Linked DNA regions of Callithrix jacchus. The protein of the gene in region 2 interacts with the protein of the main gene of each other region in a pairwise test. Links are inferred from orthologs where the notes say so. Each region holds a gene or a part of one and is shown on either strand. Other genes may lie near its edges.

Region 1 (10,639 bases), on a different chromosome or scaffold from region 2:
GGTGCCTCCTCAGCCTCCCACTTCGTGGGCAGAAAGTTTCCAGCCACGAAAGTGAAAGCGAAATGCAAGTCAAGCATACCGGGAGGAAAAACCTCCTTGCAGCCTGAAGAGTTCAGCTGCTGCAAATATGCTCTTTATTTTTCAATTACAGAATTGATGCGCTCCTAAGTGTCCCCTGATAGACAGGTGGGCTGTTACGTTAAACTTAGCTCTCTATCACCCTCTTAACATTCCTCCATCGGCTCTTAGAGTCAATCGTTCACTGTATAAAGTTTTTAAAGCTTTTTTAAAAGTATGAATACACATCTTTTTGAAAATGCGTTCATTCCGTAAGCACTTTGAAAGAATAATAAAGTACATTTAATTTTATGCCACATTTTTTCTATATCAGTACCTCTTTAAAAGATAGCATCACATGTGTGACCTAATTTATGAAGCGCCTGTTGTTAATTACAAACACCTTTGAGTACTTAGGTAATTTTGATGTCATCAACTCCTTGAAGTAATACGGCTGAGTCAAAGAGCGTATACATTTAATTTTGTTTTGTTTTTTTTTTTTTTTTTTTTTGAGATGGAGTCCTGCTCTGTCACTCAGGCTGGAGTACAGTGGTGCCATCTCAGCAAACTGTAAACTCTGCCTCCCGGGTTCCAGTGATTCTCCTGCCTTAGCTTCCCAAATAGCTGGGATTACAGGCACCTGCCACCAGGCGCGGCTAATTTTTGTACTTTTTTAGCAGAGACGGGGTTTCAACATGTTGGCCAGGCTGTTCTCGAACTCTCAACCTCAGGTGATCCACCTGCTTCAGCCTCCCAAAGTGTTGGGATTACAGGCGTGAGCCACCGCACGTGGCTAAATTTTTGATAAATATTACTAAATTAATCTCCAAAAGTTTGCAATTTACATTCTAGCCAAGATTGTGTATGAACATGCTTTCTCTTTATTTTCCAAACTAGATGTCAGCAATCTCGTTTTTAAATCGTTGCTCATCAGTGTAAAAATTACAATTTTTTTTTTTTTGAGATGGAGTCTAGCTCTGTCACCCAGGCTGGAGAGCAGTGGCATGATCTTGGCTCCCTACAACCTCCGCCTCCCGGGTTCAAGCAATTCTGCCTCAGCCTTCCAAGTAGCTGGGATTACAGGAGTCCACCACAACGCCCACAGAATTTTTGTGTTTTTAGTAGAACAGGGTTTCACCATGTCGGCCAGACTGGTCTCGAACACCTGACCTCAGGAGATCCACCCACCTCCATCTCCTAAAGTCCTGGGATTACAGGAGTGAGCCATTGCGCCCAGCCAGAAATTTCAATTGTTACAGGAATTGTTACGGGGTTTGTTGTTTCTGTCTTGCTCTGTTTACACCATTTTCTCTTTAGTTGCTTTTAACATCTTGGTCAGTAGAACTCCTTAGTTTTTCTGCCATGTGTCTAGGTATGGATTTAGTTTTATTTATCTTGTTCAGGGAACTGCAGATGCATTTCACGTCTGACATTTTCTCATTCATTATGGCTTCAAATATCTCCTCTCCTTAGTCTATTCTTTATCTCTGGAATGTCTTTTTTTTTTCCCCCCTAGTTCAGCTGTGACTTCAGACAGGATTCTAAGAGGAGTTTCACAGTCTCTTTCCTGGGTTTTGTGGAGCCTTAACTTTACCCTTCTGTGTCAGCCTCTTAAAGCACTGGGTCAGCCTTGAAAGGGAACAGGAAAAGGCAGTTCTATTTTAAGATGCCTTCAAGTGTAATACGTACCATCATTTTATGTAGCACAGGAAAGAAAACTGTCAAACTATTATTTACTATTTTTTTTAGAAAGGGGGTTTCCCTTTGACACCCAGGCTGGAGTGCAGGGGCATGATCACTGCTCACTGCCACCTCCAACTTCTAGGCTTGAGGTATCCTCCTGCCATAGCCTCCCAAGTAGCTAGGGCTACAGATGTGCACCACTGCACCTGGCTAAGTTTAAAACTTTTTTTTTGGGCCAGGCGCGGTGGCTCACGCCTATAATCCCAGCACTTTGGGAGGCAGAGGCGGGCGGATCACGAGATCAAGAGACTGAGACCATCCTGGTCAACAAGGTGAAACCCCGTCTCTACTAAAAATACAAAAATTAGCTGGGCGTGGTGGTGCGCGCCTGTAGTCCCAGCTACTCGGGAGGCTGAGGCGGGAGAGTGGCTTGAACCCAGGAGATGGAGGTTGCGGTGAGCCGAGATCGGGCGGCCGTTGCACTCCAGTCTGGGTAATAACAGCGAAACTGCGTCTCAAAAAAAAATTTTTTTTTTTTAGATGGAGTCTTGCTCTGTCACCAGGCCGGAATCCGCCTTTTGGATTCAAGTGACTCTCCGGGCTCAGCCTCCCGAGTAGCTGGGACTACAGGCGCGCACCACCACGCCCAGCTAATTTTTGTATTTTTAGTAGAGACGGGGTTTCACCTTGTTGACCAGGATGGTCTCGGTCTCTTGACCTCGTGATCCACCCGCCTCTGCCTCCCAAAGTGCTGGGATTATAGGCGTGAGCCACCGTGCCTGGCCTTCTAAATTTTTTTGTAGAGAGGAGGTCCCACTATGTCGGTCTGGGCTCCAACTCCTGGGCTCACACGATCTTCCCACTAAGCCTCCCCAAGTGTGCGATTACAGGCATGAGCCACTGCACCCAGCCTCAAACTGTTACACAATGCTTTATCACTTAGAATTTCTAATTTGTTTTAAAAGAACTTTTAGACTTTAAACACATTCTTATTACTCTTGTGCATACAAGAAAAAATGTAAGCTATATTGGTTAAGGCATTTCTACTGTTTTTCCACTCAGTTGCTGATACTGCTGTTTTTCTGTATAATATTGTACCCTGTGTTGTTAAGGGTGTTGATGATGCAGCATTTTTCAATAGTGCTATTCTATTGTCTCTCGAAGAATTTCTTGCAAGCCTCTCCTACCCATTTGTAAGTTTGATGTTGGCACTTTCTTGCTTTATGTGTGATGGACAACCCATTTGCATGCATCTCAATATCAAAACATAATACAGCATCATCTGTTTGTGGGTATTTTCCTTTCTTGGGTCCCTTAAAATCTCACAAAATGTGGAATGTGTTCATTCCTCCAGTGAGGAACATTTGCTTCACTAAAAACAAATGCATATGCTCCACTACTCTGTTTCAGTCCTGTCTGCTTACATAATAACATTTTGGTTTAATGCCAAATCACAGTGTAATAGATTTGACGGCATTTTAAATGTCAATTAAATTCTACCCATGTGGGACTTACAATGTAGATGAATTATTTTTGCTATTTTAGAAGTGATGTGTTCCTAAAAATGTCGAATGATAAAGAGGTGTACGGTTGTGTTAAACTCATGTTAAATTGAAATGAGGACATAAACATGCCTCTGACTGTGGTCAGAGAAGGCCTCTCTGAGAAGATAGCATCTTGTCAGAGAAGACAGCTGTTTGGAGAGTTGGAAGAAAAGCATTCTAGGCTGAGAGAATAGCATGATTATAAAGGTCAGCATAGGCCGGGAGTGGTGGCTCAAGCTTGTAATCCCAGCACTTTGGGAGGCCGAAGCGGGTGGATCACAAGGTCAAGAGATCGAGACAATCCTGGTCAACATGGTGAAACCCCATCTCTACTAAAAATACAAAAAATTAGCTGGGCATGGTGGCGCGTGCCTGTAATCCCAGCTACTCAGGAGGCTGAGGCAGGAGAATTGCCTGAACCCAGGAAGCGGAGGTTGCAGTGAGCCGAGATCGCTCCATTGCACTCCAGCCTGGGTAACAAGAGCAAAAACTCCGTCTCAAAAAAAATAAAATAAAATAAAAAAATAAAGGTCAGCATACTTGGAATATATTCAGACAAGTTAGATGTAGCACTCAGACTAAGTGCTAGAGTGGTGCAAGGTGAGGTTGCATCTGGAGTAAGAGTGGTGCAAGGTGAGGTTTCGGTGAGGTTGCAGAGAGGCTGGGGTGAACTCTTGCAGGACTTTGTAGGCTCTGTAAAAGTGCAAGCGAACGTTGTCAACAGCAGGTCTTTGATATGATCCAATTTACATTTTAAGAGGATACTTTAACATCTAGTAAATGTACTATTGAATCAGTAAAGAATCAATTAAGTAAATTTTGATCAGATATTAAACTATTAGAAAATAATAAAAGCAGCTGGGCACAGTGGCACACACCTGTAATCCCAGCACTTTGGGAGGCCAAGGTGGGCAGATTACTTGAGGTCAGGAGTTCCAGACCAGCCTGATCAACAAAGTGAATCTCTGTCTCTACTGAAAATACAAAAATTAGCTGGGTGTGGTGGCACACACCTGTAATCCCAGCTACTTGGGAGGCTGAGGCACAAATTGCTTGAACCTGGGAGGCAGAGGTTACAGTGAACCAAAATTGCGACACTCCCCTCCAGCCTGGGCAACAGGGCAAGACTATGTTTCAAAAAAAAAAAAAAAATGTTTCTTACAGAATGATGATGATGACTGACAATTTTTTTTTTTTTTTGGAGATGGAGTCTTGCTCTGTCACCAGGCTGGCGTGCAGTGGTGCCATCTCAGATCACTGCAACCTCTGCCTCCCGGGTTCAAGCAATTCTCCTGCCTCAGCCTCTCGAGTAGCTGGAACTACAGGTGTGTGCCACCATGCCTAGCTAATTTTTGAATGTTTTAGTAGAGTCGGGGTTTCACCATGTAGGTCAGGATGGTCTTGATCTTGTGATCTGCCCGCCACAGCCTCCTAAAGTGCTGGGATTACAGGTGTGAGCCACCATGCCCCGCCCGATGATTATTATTTTTGAGAAAGGTTCTCACTTTGTCATCCAGGCTGAGGTACAGTAGCATGAGCTCACCTCACCACAGCTTTGACCTGGGCTCAGGTGATCCTCCCACCTCAGCCTTCCAAGTGGCTGGGACTACAGGTGAACACCACCAAGCCCAGCTAATATTTTGGAGAGATAGGGTTTCACCATATTGCCTAGGCTGGTCTCAAACTCTTGGGCTCAAATGATCCTCCCACCTTTGCCTCCCAAAGTGCTGGGGTTACAGACATGAGCCACCGTGCCTGGCCTCTTACAGAATTATTAATAATTCCCCCAGAAATTGGACATAACCTTAAGGTCTAACAGTGTTTGCATTTGTTAGGTAAATTGTGATAAATCTGTAAGATGGAATATTGTTTAGCCTCTAACGTACGATTTGCAAAGAGCTTAATAAAGAGAAAAATCACGTTATGAAGCAGAATAAACAAAGGTATTCCAATTTTCTCAAATTGTTATATCTGGGTGTATGTGTACAGTAAATGGAATGGAAAAGCAAGAAGATAAATATGAACAGTAATTATCTGGCTGATGGTGCCACAAATAATTTTAAATTTTTCTTGCATTTTCTGTATTTTCTATACTTTTTTCAGTAAAAATGTATTGGTCAGAAAATGAATACTGGGAGAAAATGCTATAAATTATTTTATGTAGTATCTGGCAAATTTCTTCATAAGGTAATATGTATCAGAATTATTCTCAATCCTGGCTGCACTCTAGACTCACCTGGGGAGCTTTAAAAAAGCCTATTCCACTTGGCCCTCCCCCAGAAATTTAGTTACTTTAGGATGGCCCCTCCATCAATAATTTTAGCAGCCGTCAAAGTAAATCATTTTTTGTTTGAGATGGAATGTCACTCTGTCACCTAGGCTGGAGTGCAAGTGGCGTGACCTCCGCACACTGGAACCTCTGCCTCCCAGGTTCAAGCGATTCTCCTGCCTCAGCCATCTGAGTAGCTGAGATTACAGGCTCCCGCCACCATGGCCAGCTAATTTTTGTATTTCTGGTAGCGATGGGGTTTCACTATGTTGGCCAGCCTGGCTCAAAATTATTGAGCCTTTCCATAGTCCAGAAGACAAATTTTAGAAAGTGAGGAAGGGCTCGGTGCAGTGGCTCACGCCTGTAATCCCAACACTTTGGGAGGCCAAGATGGGCGGATCATCTGAAGTCAGCAGTTCAAGACCAGCCTGATATGGTGAAACCCTGTCTCTACTAAAAATACAAAAATTGGCCGGGCGTGGTGGCGAGCGCCTGTAGTCCCGGCTCCTCGGAAGGCTGAGACAGAATTGCTTGAACCCGGGAGGAGGAGGCTGCAGTGAGCTGAGATAGTGGGCGACAGAGCGAGACTCTGTCTCAATAATAAATAAATAAATAAACTGAGGAAGATCTCAACTGCAAAATGCAAATCATACTCACTTCCAAGCCATGTGTGGATTAAATGAGATAAGCCAACTAAAGCGATTACCCAGCTCAGTGCCTAGTATACAGTTAGCGCTCAACAAGTACTAGAGACCGCTTGGCAAAGCAAGGCAGATTGAAGTGTGGGTTCCACTTCTCATCATGTGATAAGCGATAATGCTTTTAATCAGGTCGGCTCACCTGGCCTCTCCATTCGGCCTAAATAACGTCTACTTACTTGCGTGAAGAAAGAGCCCTTGCTGCTGCGGGCTCAGAGCCCAGGTCAGCAAGTATTTGTCAGGCTAGAGCCTCCGGGTGGCGCCTCTCGCCGTCGGTAATCCGTTACCTCCAGAACCAGGGCGCCAGCTTCAGCCATCTGCATTGAAGCAGGAGCTCCCATTGGCTAATCGGACTCTGAAACGCACGCCTATTCCCGCCCCTGACGCTGCCGTCCAATGCGAGCCTCTCAACTCTGCTCCGCCCCGCCCCCGTCTCCCTGTCCCTGGCGTATTTGCGCCGTTGGTCGATCTTTCGGGTCGTGATGGCGGCGCTGCGCGTGCGCACTCGCTCCGAGCCCGCCTCCGGGGAGGAGGAGCTCGCGGGCCGGGGCCAGGGAAGGCAGACCCTGCTCCGCCCGGGTGAAAGGGCCGTGACGGCGCTGGGCGGGGCCGAGCTCCAGGGCTGGCTGCTGGGCTGCTAAGGGAACTGTGAGCTGTTCGGAGCCGCGCGACTCCCGGGCGGGGCGGGGCCGGCCGAGGGAGTCCGCGCGTGCCCGCGCTGAGCTGCCTTTCCTGGCTGCTGCGCTGCTCGCCCGCGGCGACGTCGGGCAGGTTTTTCCAGGATGACCGAGCTGAGGCAGAGGGTGGCCCACGAGCCGGATGCGCCGCCCGAGGACAAGGTAGCGGCAGCCTCGGGGTGGGCGCGGCCGGGACAGCGGCGCATCCAGGAGGCCCGGTGGGGACGCGCGCAGGGGGGTCCTCTAGTCCTCTGATCCCTTGTCGTGGCGGACGGCGGCCCCGGGCAGCGCGATGGGTCCTCGGGTGCCTAGCCTTTGCTGCGCGCATGTCAAGGGTTGGCGGGTCGGAGTCCCGGCTCAGGGTCTGGCTGGAGTGGCTCCCCTGGGGCGCAGGAAGGAGCTCGCCTGGAGTGGCGCACGGCCTCCTGCCTCGCTGGGCTGACTGCGGGACCCCCCTCTCCCCCTACCTCCCTGAGGCCTTCCTGGAGGTGAAGATGTGCAGAGCTTTCTCAGATAGGCGGCTCCTCTGACCGCGACTTAGGCTCTCCGTTCCCTTTTGCAATGTTATTATTTTGGGGGGTGTCGGAATCGGGACAAGGCCATAGCATTTGCCTCCTGGCATATGTAAATCCCTTCTTGGACAGGAAATCATCGGCTTTGAGCAGAGAGGTGTGTTACGCAGTGAGCCACCCCGTCATCAGCAGGTGTTGGAGGGAGTCCTCCCAGTTGATGGGTTGTTTCCTGTGCCGTATGGGTTCTGGTGAGTAGGGGAGGAGAGTAGGAAGGAGGCCATCTTGGCGGGGACAGCGGCTGGGGGGTGACGGGTGTGGGAGTAGATTCCTTTGGGTGAAGTGAAAGGTCTGTGTAGGGGAGTTGAGGAAGGTAGGGAGTAGTTGTATTACTGTGGACATTGAATGGCAGCATAGGACTTTGTAGTTGTAGTTGTGCTTTCCGAGATAGCAGTGGTCAGGAGTCCTGTATTTGGAAAACTGATCTGGCAGTGATGTGTAGAATGGATTGAGGGAGCTTGGACTAGAATGAGGGAGACTGGTTCACTTGGGGATTGCCCATGGGTGACCTGTAGATGTTTTCTTTGGCCCACATGTTGCCTTAAAAATCAGAAAATTTCTCCTAACAATCTAAGTTTCTTGCCTTAGATAATTGGAGGGTCCACCATCATTTTCTCACCTGATTAATGATTGGCTGGAGCTGAGGATCATCTGTTCCCACCAATTCCTGTTGCCTTACACCCAGGCTCATGGCTTCTTCTAATGCAGCCTGTAACTTTTTGATAACTGGAAGAAAGGGACATTAGGGAGACACCAAGAAGGAAGAAAGCACAAGATCTGGTGACAGGATGTCAACAGATCAATTACACTAGGAGGAATGTTTTGGGTGAAAGATAATGGTTGTTTTTTTTAAAATCAACTTTTGTGTTATTGCAATTGACAGTGGACCATCCAAAGAAAACTGTTCATACTGAATTTTAGAAAATGTATTTTGGCCAGGCACAGTGCTGAACAACTGTAATCCTAGCTACTAGGGAGGCTGAGGCAGGAGGATCGCTTGAGCCCAGGAGTTTGAGATCCTGTCTCAAAAAACAAAAACAAAAAAAACATATTTTGGAGACAATTTAGGGCTAGGGCTAAGGATTTAGCAGTTGCTTGCAGAGACAAGAGACTTTGAAGTCTCTAATTTTTCAGTGGGCTCTTCTGGTTCAGCCTGAAAGAATTGTGACTTACCTTGTTACTGCTAGTTGGTGAGTATGCAGATGTTTGGAGGCTCTGTTTAAGGTGAGATCATACTTGATGTCACTGGGACATTGTGGACCTAGAAGGTATGAGAAGAGGGAGAAGAAAGAAGGCATGAAAGCTGGTAGGCCATGTTTTTGAAAAGCTGACTATGTACAATAGTTAGAATGTCAAAAAAAACAACGATGGGGTTGTGAGATGGAACATAAAGATTCTGCCCTTTCTGGACTCCTTGGATCCATCCCCAGAGATAAAGTGCCTGTTGGTCTTACTTTCACATCCCCTACTTTCAGTAGGGAGGACATGAGGAGCTGTCCAGCTGAAGGTGCACTTACATCACTTATGCAGTGACATAATGCCTGGGGTCATGAGGTCCCTAAAAGACAGCTGCTATGCACACTGATACTCATTACCCAGAACAAGGCAATCAGTCCCTCACCACATCCTCCAGAACTTCTGAATTGTCATGCATGGGATTTTTAATAAGGGCACGTTTTAAAAGGTGTGAAATCTATTACTTGTCTTTGAATGTATATAGTAAACTTTTTTCTTTTCTTTTCTGTTTTTTGAGGCAGAGTTTTGCTCTTGTGGCCCAGACTGGAGCACAATGGTGCAATCTCAGCTTACTACAACCTCCGCCTCAGCCTCCTCAGTACCTGGGATTACAGCACCTGCCACCACGCCCTGCTAATTTTTTTTTATTTATAGTAGAGATGGTGTTTCACCATGTTGTACAGGTTGATCTTGAACTCCTGACCTCAGGTAATCCACCCACCTTGGCTCCCAAAGTGCTGAGATTACAGGTGTGAGCCACTGCAGCTGGCCCATAGTAAACTGTTTTTTTTTTTTGAGACAGAGTTTCGCTCTTGTTACCCAGGCTAGAGTGCAATGGTGCTATCTCGGCTCACTGCAACCTCTGCCTCCTGGGTTCAGGCAATTCTCCTGCCTCAGCCTCCTGAGTAGCTGGGATTACAGGCACACACCACCATGCCCAGCTAATTTTTTGTATTTTTAGTAGAGATGGGGTTTCACAATGTTGACCAAGATGGTCTTGATCTCTTGACCTCGTGATCCACCTGCCTCGGCCTCCCAAAGTGCTGGGATTATAGGTGTGAGCCACCGCGCCAGGCCCATAGTAAACTTTTTCAAAAATCCTGATTTATTCTGTTTCATAGTTTGGGAAAAGCCTACTTCCATGACTTTGGCTTTGCCAATATTCTTGTGTTAGAACCCAGGGAAATTAGAAATAATAAAACAGGTTGTCTTTTTAAGGAAATGAGAACTTTTTTTATTTCATAGTAGAAGAATCCAGTAAACAATTTTCAAGTCAGTGCTTTAAAAGCTCTGGAATAAATTTGAAAGATTCTTCAAAATGTTACAGTTGCTTAACTGCCAGTGGCAAAACTTTCTTGTAAATAGATAATCATTAGTATCAAAATAATCTGGAGAATGTTTATTTATAAAAGTCATAGGCTGGGTGTGGTGGTTCACACCTGTAATCCCAGCATTTTGAGAGGCCAAGGTGGGTGGTTCACAAGGTCAGTAGATGGAGACCATCCTAGCTAACACAGAGAAACCCCGTCTCTACTAAAAATACAAAAAATTAGCCAGGCATGGAGGCGCATGCCTGTAGTCCCAGCTACTTGGGAGGCTGAGGCAGGAGAATTGCTTGAACCCGGGAGACGGAGGTTGTACTGAGCCAGGATCACGCCACTGCACTCTAGTCTGGGCAACAGAGTGAGACTTCATCTCAAAAAAAAAAAAAAAAAAAAAAAATCAGAAGGTATTTTGTTATATTTAGCATCTGAGAATGGAATTTTCAAAGCCAATTGCTAATAAAGGAAATGTTCTCCTCTGGGAACTCTGCTTATAATTTTAAAGTCCCAAGGCACAGTATAGTTGCCAATCTAAGAAAGTTGGAGTTTAGGCTTTGGGAATGATCCTTGTCCTGCCCAAATGT
Region 2 (10,768 bases):
AGAACAAGTTCTTTTAACTCCAAGATGTTTCTTATCATCCACCCTCTGAAGCCTACAGTTTTGTGACACTCTGAAGGAAATAGAGTGATAGAGAGTCAATGTTCAAGGGGTTACTTTAGAGAAGATACTCAGGGAAGACCTCACTGAGGAGTGACATTTAAGCAGAAATCAGAAGGCTGAGGAAAGCCACTCCTTCAAATAGTAGCAGGCGTGGTTGGGGTAGAGGGTTCGTTCTAGGCAGTGGAAACAGCAAGTATAAAGACTCAGAGACGGGGAAACCCTGGGCATGTTAGAGTGACCAGATGACGCCCACGTGGCCCTAATAAGGGGAGACTGTTTCCCAGAGAAGTTAGGCATGCTGGTGAGCATCCCATCTCCCCTCACTCTGTCATCTTTTCATGCTGATTCTTTCCTAAACGTGCATGTGCGGAGTACTTCTTTCATAAAGCCCTTCTCACTATTGTAATTCCCACTGCACCTCACTTTTACCATTAGTCAGAATATAATGTGGACAGTTGTTTTCAGGACAATGTTCTCCGATAGACCGTGAGCTTCTGTCAGAAGATATCTTATTCACCTTTGGCGTCCCCAGCTTATAGCACAGTGCTGTATATGGCAGGCACATCATAAATGTTGATTCAATAAATGTATTTTTTTTTTTTTTTTAGGGAGAAAGAGAAAGAAAAAGAGGGAAAAAAGAGGGAAAAAGAGGAAAAAAAGAGGGAAAAAGAGAAAAAGAGGGAAAAAGAAATATTACTTCATTCCTAAAATGGGTATCAATAATGGCTGATCAATATTTTGTGTGTTTAAAGTGGATAATGTATATTTTGTGTGTTTAAAATGGAGAGCTCTATTGAATTTATTTGTTCTGGTTCTGAGTTCAAGTCCTGGATATCATTATCAATTTTCTGTCTCGTTGAATCTAAATCTCATTATGGGTCTTATGTATCTGGGTGTTAAGATCTCTTATTATTACATTAATCCTTTTACCCTTGTATCCTTGTAGCTTTGAAATCTATTTTATTAATTGTGAGAATTGCAACTCCTGCTTTTTATTTATTTGTTTTTGCTCTCCATTTGGTTGGTAAGTTTTTTTCCAACCCTTTATTTTGAGTCTTTGTATATCTTTAGATATACCGTTAGATTTTGTCTGTATCTTTTGATTGGGGGATTTAGTCGATTTAAATTTAGGGTTACTGCCATTTGATATTAACTGGCTATTTTATCCTTTTGTTGATGTAAATTCTTCTTTATGTTAATGCTTTTTACTTTTTGGTATATTTTTAGAAAGGCTCATACTGGTTGTTCCTTTCTATGTATAATACTTCTTTTAGAAGTTCTTGTAAAGCAGGCCTCGTGATAGTAAAATCTCTAAGTACTTGCTTGTTCCTGAAAGATTTTATTTTTCCTTCAATTGTAAAGCTTAAATTGGCAGGATATGAAATTCTGGGCTGAAAGTTCTGTTCTTTAAGTATATTGAATATTGGCCCCCACTCTCTTCTAGCTTGTAGGGTTTCCGCTGAGAGATCTGCTGTAAGCCTAATAGGCTTCCCTTTATGGGTAACCTGATCTTTCCCTCTGGCTGCCCTTAATATTTTCTCCTTCGTTTAGATCCTGGTGAATCTAACAATTATGTGCCTTGGGGTTGGTCTTCTTGAGGAATATCTTTGTAGTATTCTCTGTATTGCCTGGGGTTGAATAGTGTCCTGCTTTGCTAAGTTGGGAAAATTTTCCTGGATAATGTCCTGAAAAGTATTTTCCAGCTTGAATTCATTCTCTCCGTCACATTCAGGTACACCGATCAAACGTATATTAGGTCTTTTCACATAGTCCCATATTTCTTGGAGACTTTGCTCATTCCTTTGTATCTTTTTTTCTCTATTCTTGTCTTATCGTTTTATTTCATTAAGTTGGTCTTCAACCTCTTATATCCTTTCTTCTGCTTGATCCATTAGGCTATTTAAGCTTGTACATATTTCGCTAAGTTCTCGTGTTGTATTTTTCAACTCCGTAAGTTCATTTGTATTCCTCTCTATATTGTCTATTCTTTTCATCATTTCATCGAACCTTTTTTCAAAGTTCTTAGTTTCTTTACATTGGGTTAGAACAAGTTCCTTTAACTCCCAGAAGTTTCTTATCATCCACCTTTTAAAGCCTACTTCAGATAATGGAACACAGTCCTTTTCCATCAGGACTTGTTTTGTTGCTGATGAGTCCTTTTCCACCAGGGCTTGTTCGGTTGCTGATGAGTCCTTTTCCATCAGGGCTTGTTCCGTTGCTGATGGGTTCTGATTTCGAGTATACTCGGCCTTCTTAGGCTGTTTTTTTCCCTTCATTGTAGATGAACCGCCTTTCTAATTAGGTTTCTGAGTCGAAGTCCGACTTATTGATTCCCAGTGCTGGGATCCGAGCAACCCACTGTGGCAGCCTAAATAGCAGCGATAAGACTGATGGTGCTCTTCTGCCCGGGAATCTCTGGTCTGGCTTCCCTCTTGAGTCTGCAACAAGCAGCTCTGATTTCCTGGAGCTCCTAACTCCGGTCAGTAGGGGAAGCAGTCCCGTTTACTCTGCATGAAGAGCTGCTGCGCCGAGAAGCCGGCAAAACCGCTGCTGCGGCCACAAGAGTCGCGCTGGCGACCCGTGGGGCTCCTCCACTGGGAATCAGCTGATCCGTGAGTGACGAAAATTCGTCTAAAAGTGTGGTGTCGTCTCGTTCTCTGAGCTTTCACTGGGAGCTACAATCCCGAGTTGTTAGTGATCAGCCATCTTGGATCGGTCTCAATAAATGTATTTTTTTAAGCAGTTCATGCTTAGACCCTCCTTTTCAATAACTTTATAACCTCTCATAGATAATATTTTCATGGTATTTAAACCATGAGGGTAAAGAAAACCAGCAACCCAGAGGAATGTGTTTGCTTAAGACTTGTCTCCAATGCTGAAAAGGAAAACCAGGGAGGTAGTGTAATGTGCTGTTATTCTGCTGTGAGTTGAATGGTGGTCCCAAAAAATATATGTCCATATCCTCACCCCTAGAATCTGTGACTGTGACCGTATTTGACAAAAGGGTCTTTGCAGATTTATTTAAGATAATACTAGATTATTTGTACAGACCCTAAATCCAATGACAAGTACTCTTATAAGAGACAGAAAAGGCAAAGACAGACACAGGGGAATGCCATGGGAAGATGGAGGCAGAGACTGGAGTTGTAGTTAAAAGCCAATGAGCAGTGCCTGGAACCACCAGAAGCTGGAAGAGGCAGAGAAGGATTCTCCTCTAGAGCAGCCGTCCCCAACCTTTTTGGCACCAGGGACTGGTTTCATGGAAGCAGTTTCATACAGGGAAATGCAGGGGGATGGTTTCAGGATGAAACTGTTCACCTCAGATCTTCAGGCATTAGATTCTTATAAGGAACATGCAACCTAGATCCTTCGCATGTGCGGTTCACAATAGGGTTCATGCTCCTATGAGAATCTAATGCCACCACTGATATGACAGGAGGCGGAGCTCAGGCAGTAATGCTGGCTTGCCTGCTGCTCACCTCCTGCTGTGAGACCTGGTTCCTAACAGGCCACGGACCATGACTGGTTCATGGCTCAGGGGTTGGGAACCCTTGCCCTAGAGCCTTTGGAGGGAGTACAACCCTCCTGACACCTTTATTTTGGATTTCTGGCTTCTAGAACTGTGAGTGAATATGTTTTGAGCTGCTAATTAGGAAACTAATACATACCCCATTGCGCTTATATCTCACTTACCCATTCTGTAACATGGATATAGTAATACCTCTCTCAGAAGCTTAGCACCAGAATTAAATGAGGTATGTTTGTATGGTACTTAGCACATAGTAAGTGTTCAAAAATAGTGATGGCTGTTCCTCTTCTCTAAGGACTAAGGGTTTTCTTCTTCTTGAATAAGAACTCAACAATAGAGTGGGAATTATCTGTGATTGATTGCTTGGTGAGTCAAAGCTCACACCATGGATTTAACTGGAGAGCTTCAATTTCTGTTTTGGCCCTGAAGCTCCCATTCCCTGGTGTCTTCTAGCAGTTCTTAGTTAAAGTTTTGTATCAAGAGAGGGTTCAGCTTTCTCCCATGGGCGGGGGGAAGAAGTCAAAGTAGAGCTCATGTACCAAATTTGAAGGGAAACACTCAGAAAAAACTTCTGAGTGCACAGCAGAAATCACCCTCTCAGTCCCCGCCAAAGACAAAGGCTTTGGGTTCTACATTTCTAGTTTCCATTAAGGGATTCTGGGACTGGACATTTTTGAAAATTAATGACCTGTACTGAGTAATCCTCCTAACACAGTGATCATCAAAAAATTCCCTGTAATGAGTTTAGGCTTTCTCTGAATGCCTTCATGGGAGTGTGCAGCAGGAAGACCGCACTGGAGCACTGAGGACACTTGATCGTGCGGCGTGCAGGGTACGGAGCCCCCGCTGCCTCCCTGCAGGATGACTGGCACTGTGCTTGGAGTCGGTGTGGGTGTCTTCATCTTGGCCCTGCTCTGGGTGTCAGTGCTGCTGCTGTGTGTGCTGCTGTCCAGAGCCTCCGGGGCAGCGAGGTAAGGCATTCTTTCCAGCTGGGAGTCCTAGGTAAAGCAATTAGAGGCAAAATTGCTGATGCTCATTAAACATTTAGAATTTAAGAGATCAGTTTGTAATTACTGGCAGTTTGAATGAGTTGCATTTTAACCTCTTTTTATAAGCACAAACCGTGTTATTTATGCTCTGAAGCAGAGATGGGAGGAGAAGGAAGTGGTGTTCTTGAGTTCTAACTGTGGAGGAGATGGGGGACACAAGAGATGACAAGAAATTCTGCTTTCACTGCTTATTGAATTTCTCAAGGTTGTACACATGTATGTTTCTGAATTGTTCAGATTTATGGCAGATGCTTGGTCTAGTCCCCAAGGCTCTAGCCCTGGACCCAGGAAAGCTAAAGCAGCATTTGATGAGTTGGGCCTGCTTCCTTTATCAGGTGTTGCCTTCAGAACAGGGTTAGGCCATAAACCAACTCTGAAAACACTGTAGAGTTGCCTCTGGCAAGGTAGTGTTAGCATGAAGCAGAGAGTTGTAGAATTTTCTAAGTATTCTGTTCTAAAAATAACAGAAGTGGAAAGGGAGAGGGGATGCTTTGGTTTTTCTTGATTATGCATTTGGGCAGAAGTAAAAATCAAAACTACAAATTTTCATTCTTAGGAAATGGGAATTACTAAGAATAAGCAGGAATGCACCCAGCTGGTACCTGTCTAGGAAGAAGGACTTTGAGATGAAGAGGTTGTGGACAGCAGATCTCTGGGCATTGTTAAGGCACTGAAATATAGAATATTGGCCCCAAGAAAGAGACTGTCCAGACCTAACTGATCAGAGAAGAAACTGTAAACAGTGCTTTTAATAATTTGTCTTTTTGACCCCAGGTTCTCTGTCATTTTTTTATTCTTTGGTGCTGTGATCCTCACATCAGTTCTGTTGCTTTTCCCACGAGCTGATGAATTCCCAGCCCCAGAGGTGGAAGTTAAGGTAAAGCTGTTGGTTTCGTTTTGCCTCCTGAGCTGTAACTCTTACTTCTCTTGGTCTGCACGTCTACTCTGCCCTCGATGCTCCCTGACATTGGGCTGCCTGAGATGTCAGAATTGTAAAGTTCAACCAATGATGGGGAAAGTTCAGAGGGAGTTTAAAGTTTCTCTGCCCCTTCACTAAGGAAAAGAATCTAACTCTGAATTCCTCCTGCAACCCCACCAGGCAGTTATTTGCCTGATTTGGTCTCAACTCTAGTTTGCATCAGGTTGAAAACAGCCTGTTGGAAAGCCACCTCATACCATGGGGACCGAGAAAGAGAAAATGAAGTAGGGATAGTCACAGGCCTGCACTTGAGATGGAAGTGTTCCCATTCCTGGCAGCCTGGGCTCCTCACCTCAGATCCTGGGCTGAAGTTGATGCAGTGCCCTGAGGGTGCAAAGGACATGTGCTAGAATTTTCCTAACAGTTTTCTGGGAGTTCTTTCGTCCTCATGCCTGGGACCATACCTGCCAGCACCCAGAATTTAAAAATTCTTTAAATGAATTTTGATTATCTCTCTCCTAGTCCTTCTCTGGAGTTGTGGTTCATTCCTGATTTGGGGCTCCAGCTTTACCATGTATGGCTGGTCCCAGACCCATGGGATCTTCGCAATGGCTTTGACCTCTTCTGTCCCATTACTCCTCACAGCTTTCCTCTCAACCTTCATTTCAATATTTTAAGTAATGATCATGAAAATAGCTAACATTCTTTAAGGGATTTCTATGTGTCAGGTCCTGTGCCAAACACCTTGTTTGCACTGTCTCATTTAAACCTCAGGACAGCCCTAAGTAGTAGGACGTAGGTGCCATTATTATCCTCATTTTACAATAAGAATACTGAGCCTGTAAGAGGTTAAGGTAACTTGGTCAAGGTCACATAGCAAAAGGCAGAGCAAGGATTCAAGCTGAGGTCCGTCTTCAAAATCTTCATTGTTCAGAACCTAATAGAATATCTGGGGCTGTCCCAGAGAGCTCATTAGCATTTTGACACTAGCCAACAACAGTACACAAGGTTATACATGTAACTTTTGAACTAAAATTGACACTCTAGGATTAACCATGGAAAGAGGAAGGGAATTCATTCTGAAAATTCCAAGGGAAATAGTACTTAACAGACTTAAGAAACTGTTTCCAAGGACGCCAGTTTGTTGTCAGCATTTGGAAAACACTCTGGAGGTGTGAGTGCCACGTATGTGAGCCAGGGGTAAATTCCCACCTCATTTTCCTTGTCTTTGAAGGGGGAGAGTGAAGTAGGCTGCCACATTTCTGGATGCCGCCGACATAAACACTGGGAGAAGGGCAGAGAGCAAACACATTTTTAAATCCAATCCCTCGATTCTCTGCCATGCAAGTTTCAGACCCAGGAGAGAAGAATGGGGTTTGAGCAAAATACGTTTGTCAGCATGGCCAGCAGAATTGGAGTTCTCATTTTCAGGGTTTGAGAGCCGGCCTCTGCAGCAGCCTGGCTCAGTGCTATATCAATAATACATGGCCTGGGCCTTCTGCACCCAAGGCCTGCTAATTGGCTAATTAAAAAGTGAAACCTGTCGTACGAGCAAACATGTGGCCCACAAGAGACTTGTTCAGTACTGGAGCCAAGGTCAAAGTTATGTTAAAGCTGTTTTATCAAACTGACCTTTGTTGTAAGTTGACTATTGGGGTAATCTCTGGAGCAGCTGAGGTGTCTTTGGATCTCAGTGATCCTACCAGGGCTCGGGTCTAATAGGTGTTTTGCATATGGCTGCTGTATTAGTTTTCCATTGCTGCTGTAACAAATTACTGCAAACTTATGGCTCACAACACAGATTTATATCTTACAGTTCTGTAGGTTAGAGTCCAAAATCAGCCTCATTGGGCCAAAAGCAAGGGGTTGGCGGAGCTGCATTCTTTCTGGAGGTTCTAGGGGAGAGTCCATTTCCTTATCCTTTCTAGCTTCTAGAGGCTGCTCATATTCCTTGGCTCACAGTCCCCTTTCTCCATCTTCAGAGCCAGCAACATCATCCCTCACTGACCACTTCAGTTCTCACCTCTCTTGCTCTGACCCTGTCTTCCACCTCTGTATTCAACTTGGAAGGATCCTTGTGATTACACTGGGTCCACCTGGATTGGATAATCTAGGCTAATCCTATTTTAAGGACAGCTGTTGGCAATCTTAATTCTCCTTTAACATATAATCTAACATGTTCGCAATTTCTGGAGATTAGGATGTGGCTATCTTTGAGCCATTATTCTGCCTGCCACAGTTGCCTTTCAGGTGTTTTGGATTCTCTCCTAGGTACTGGGATTTCAAAGCTTCTGTGAAGTCAGTCAGCCACCTGGTTTGTGTTATTGCTCTAATAGGTCTGTAGATTAAATTGCTTTTCCTATCCAAATATAAGCACCACCATTTGGATCTAGGGAGAGTAGAGCTCTGGCAGGGGACAGCGGACAAGTGGGTAGAGCCAACACCAGTTATAGGTTTTTGTCAGCAAAGACCAACATCTTTGGGGCCTCAAGTGTAAGGCCAAGCGGCCCACTGTCTGATTTGGGGCAAGTTACCTATCCTCTTAGTGTTTTAGTATCTCAGGCAAGTGGCCATTTTCCTTCCCCTTGGCAAGGGACTCTTCTGCTGATCGCTTTAAAGAGTTCTCTTTAATTTCGAAAATGAACCCTCCTGAAATGGCAATGGATTGATGATTTTGGGAGTTGGGTCCTCGACATGGGGGGTTATTATACGATTGTATTTTTATGTATGTTTAAAATTCTCTGTAATAAAATGTGTTTTAACAACAACAAAAATGAGCTTTTCTAGGACCAAGCAAAAGCTTCTCATTAACTCTTTCAGACAGTGGATTTCAGAATATAATTCATCCAGGGACTTCAAAGTGTTTACCAACCTCCTAAATTGAGTCATTTGTTCCCTGTACCTCATTAATCCCTACTTGACCTGTGTCTCCTGCTCAGGGAGTTGAGGAAAAGATTCTTTTTTATCCATGTGAAGAGGAGACTCAGGGCAGGATGTTATTGGGAGTTACAAACATGAACAAACTCTTGGCCCATTCACCACAGAGTTCAGGTTAACCCAGCCAGAGTGCGTAAGTGGTAGTAATTTCATTTTGATGTTTTCTTTCTCCAGATTGTGGATGACTTTTTCATTGGCCGCTATGTCCTGCTGGCTTTCCTTAGCGCCATCTTCCTTGGAGGCCTCTTCTTGGTTTTAATCCATCATATTCTGGAGCCCATCTATGCCAAACCACTGCGCTCCTACTGAACACTCTTCAGGAAAATGAAAACCTGTTCTCTTCTTCATTGTGATGACATTGATGAGCAGAAAGGCACTATTCAGAGCCCTTGTTTTGACAGCCCTCGTGCCTTAAGATTAGAGGAGTATCCGTCCATCACTAAGACAAATCTCTTGAGTCCTGGCTTCCAGAAACAGAATTGCCAAATTGTCTCTGTGGGGCTAGATTCTCACCAGCTTAAGAAGGATATTGCTGTCTTTTTAGTATTCGTATCTTAGGATTTCCGACTGTTTTGAAAGGGAAATAGTAATGATGATCTGCTTAGAGTGGATTTCCAGCCAAGTCCTTAGTAAGTGGATTTTGGGGAAAAGACCTCATTGGCTTCTGGTTCTTTTTGATAATATATAAAATTCTTCATTAGGAGGTTGCAGTCATTTGCAAAGGAAAGGCACTCAAATTCAAAAGGTTATTTAATGTGATAATTTGGAAGACTTGCTCAAATGTTGGTCATTGACCACTCTGTGCATATATTTCCACAGAGCTCTATAAAGGCAATGAGTATCACTTCCCTCTGCTCTAATAAAGCAATAAACAATAGCTAAAGGGCTGACTTTCACTTTGAAATTTTGGCCACAGCTTTTTGAATCAAGTATCTTTAGGTTTCCTTGGGATTAGAGGAAAGATATGGAAATATCTTTTTCTTTTGTTTTTGTTTTTTGTCCTCCTATGTATCTGCAGGGTTTTTTTCTTTCATGATGGGGTGGGCTCTGTGTGCCTTACTTAATTACCATGAGTTCATTTTTGGGGGTCTTCTCTTTTCATCTTTGTAGCCCTTTCTCCAAAGCTAGTGAGGAAGGTATATTCTTAACATTAGATATAACTCTATACCTGTCTGATCTCCCAGACCAAGTGAAATTTGCATTTAATGGAGGGGCTCTGGTCAGGTTCCACTTTGGAAGTCTGATCCTGACTCTCTAGAGCCATTTGAAAAAGAGTCTTCTGTCTTAAAATTAAGAACCAAGAAAACAAGTTGGAAGGAGAACACTGATGGAGTACATGCTCTATGCTAGTAGCACACTAATTTCTTTGAGGTTTAATTTATTTAATTTTTACAACAGTCTCATTTTTATCATCCCCACTTTAAAGTAGAAAAAAGTGAAGCTTCAAGAGATTAACTGACTTGCCCAAGCTTCATCTAACAGCCAGCTAGCAAACCCAGGTGTGGTAGCCCCCAGGGCTTGTCTCGGAAAGAAAATACACTATGCTTTGTGGAACTCTGATTGAGAGCCTGAGGTAAGTTAAGGCCACTACTCCTTCACTTTCTCTCCTCGATCCTGTTTTCCCAGTAGAGAGGGTACCCAGTCCTGCCACCCCAGAGGCAGCTAAGCTCTAAATTCCAAGAGGAGAGAACAGGTAATCGTTGAGAGTTATGGGCTGGTGAGGGCCAGGTATAGTTAGCCCTACGTTGAACAGTCTTTTTTATCTTATTTTGGAAAAACTTCGCAGATAAGGCTTTGTACAGAAAGCTTCAAAGAAAATAGTTTCCTAATCTGGCCTAGGGCACACAGGGAAGAAAAGAAGAAACATCTTCTAAACAGACTGAGGAAAAGAAAAAAGAATGCATGCATCTTGAGGGAAGTGAGACAAGCTGGGGCCCTCATGCTATTGTGCTTCTCTGTGAGTCTCCATCCAGCCCAAGTGGAAGCTTGGCTCCTAACAAACCCAGGGTGCCAATTGTTACCTTCTTCTGAGAGCCTTGCTGAGAAAGTAACTCTGGGAAAAGTATTATAGGTTCCTGACCATCTTTTTCATTCTCCGAAAAGATTACTCAACTATTAGATCAATGCATAATAACTATGAGATTTTGGGTGACTATTTAGATGGGGGAAAGTGTATTAAGGTTGGAAACTAAATTATATCCTTAATACTACTGTTTTCAAATGGGGTTTTTTTTTTTTTTGTATGATGTAAATGACAGGCTTATATGTTAAGGA

What was found. The genes of interacting proteins can lie anywhere in the genome.
Region 1: the proteins of TMEM218 (region 2) and PCNA interact in binary tests that used the Homo sapiens proteins (3 or more experiments, as listed by UniProt). The link is inferred for Callithrix jacchus from reciprocal best matches to the Homo sapiens genes TMEM218 and PCNA.

Annotation. Positions count from the first base shown.
Region 1 is NC_133506.1:12,554,805-12,565,443, forward strand, and holds the start of PCNA (proliferating cell nuclear antigen), read right to left. Parts: upstream 6,573-10,639; 5' UTR 6,431-6,572; intron 3,978-6,430; exon of another isoform or gene 3,825-3,977; intron 1,700-3,824; exon of another isoform or gene 1,577-1,699; intron 1-1,576. UniProt on the Homo sapiens protein: Auxiliary protein of DNA polymerase delta and epsilon, is involved in the control of eukaryotic DNA replication by increasing the polymerase's processibility during elongation of the leading strand.
Region 2 is NC_133511.1:24,700,397-24,711,164, reverse strand, and holds the start of TMEM218 (transmembrane protein 218), read left to right. Parts: upstream 1-4,372; 5' UTR 4,373-4,450; coding exon 4,451-4,560; intron 4,561-5,194; coding exon 5,195-5,272; intron 5,273-5,412; coding exon 5,413-5,515; intron 5,516-8,668; coding exon 8,669-8,803; 3' UTR 8,804-10,768. UniProt on the Homo sapiens protein: May be involved in ciliary biogenesis or function.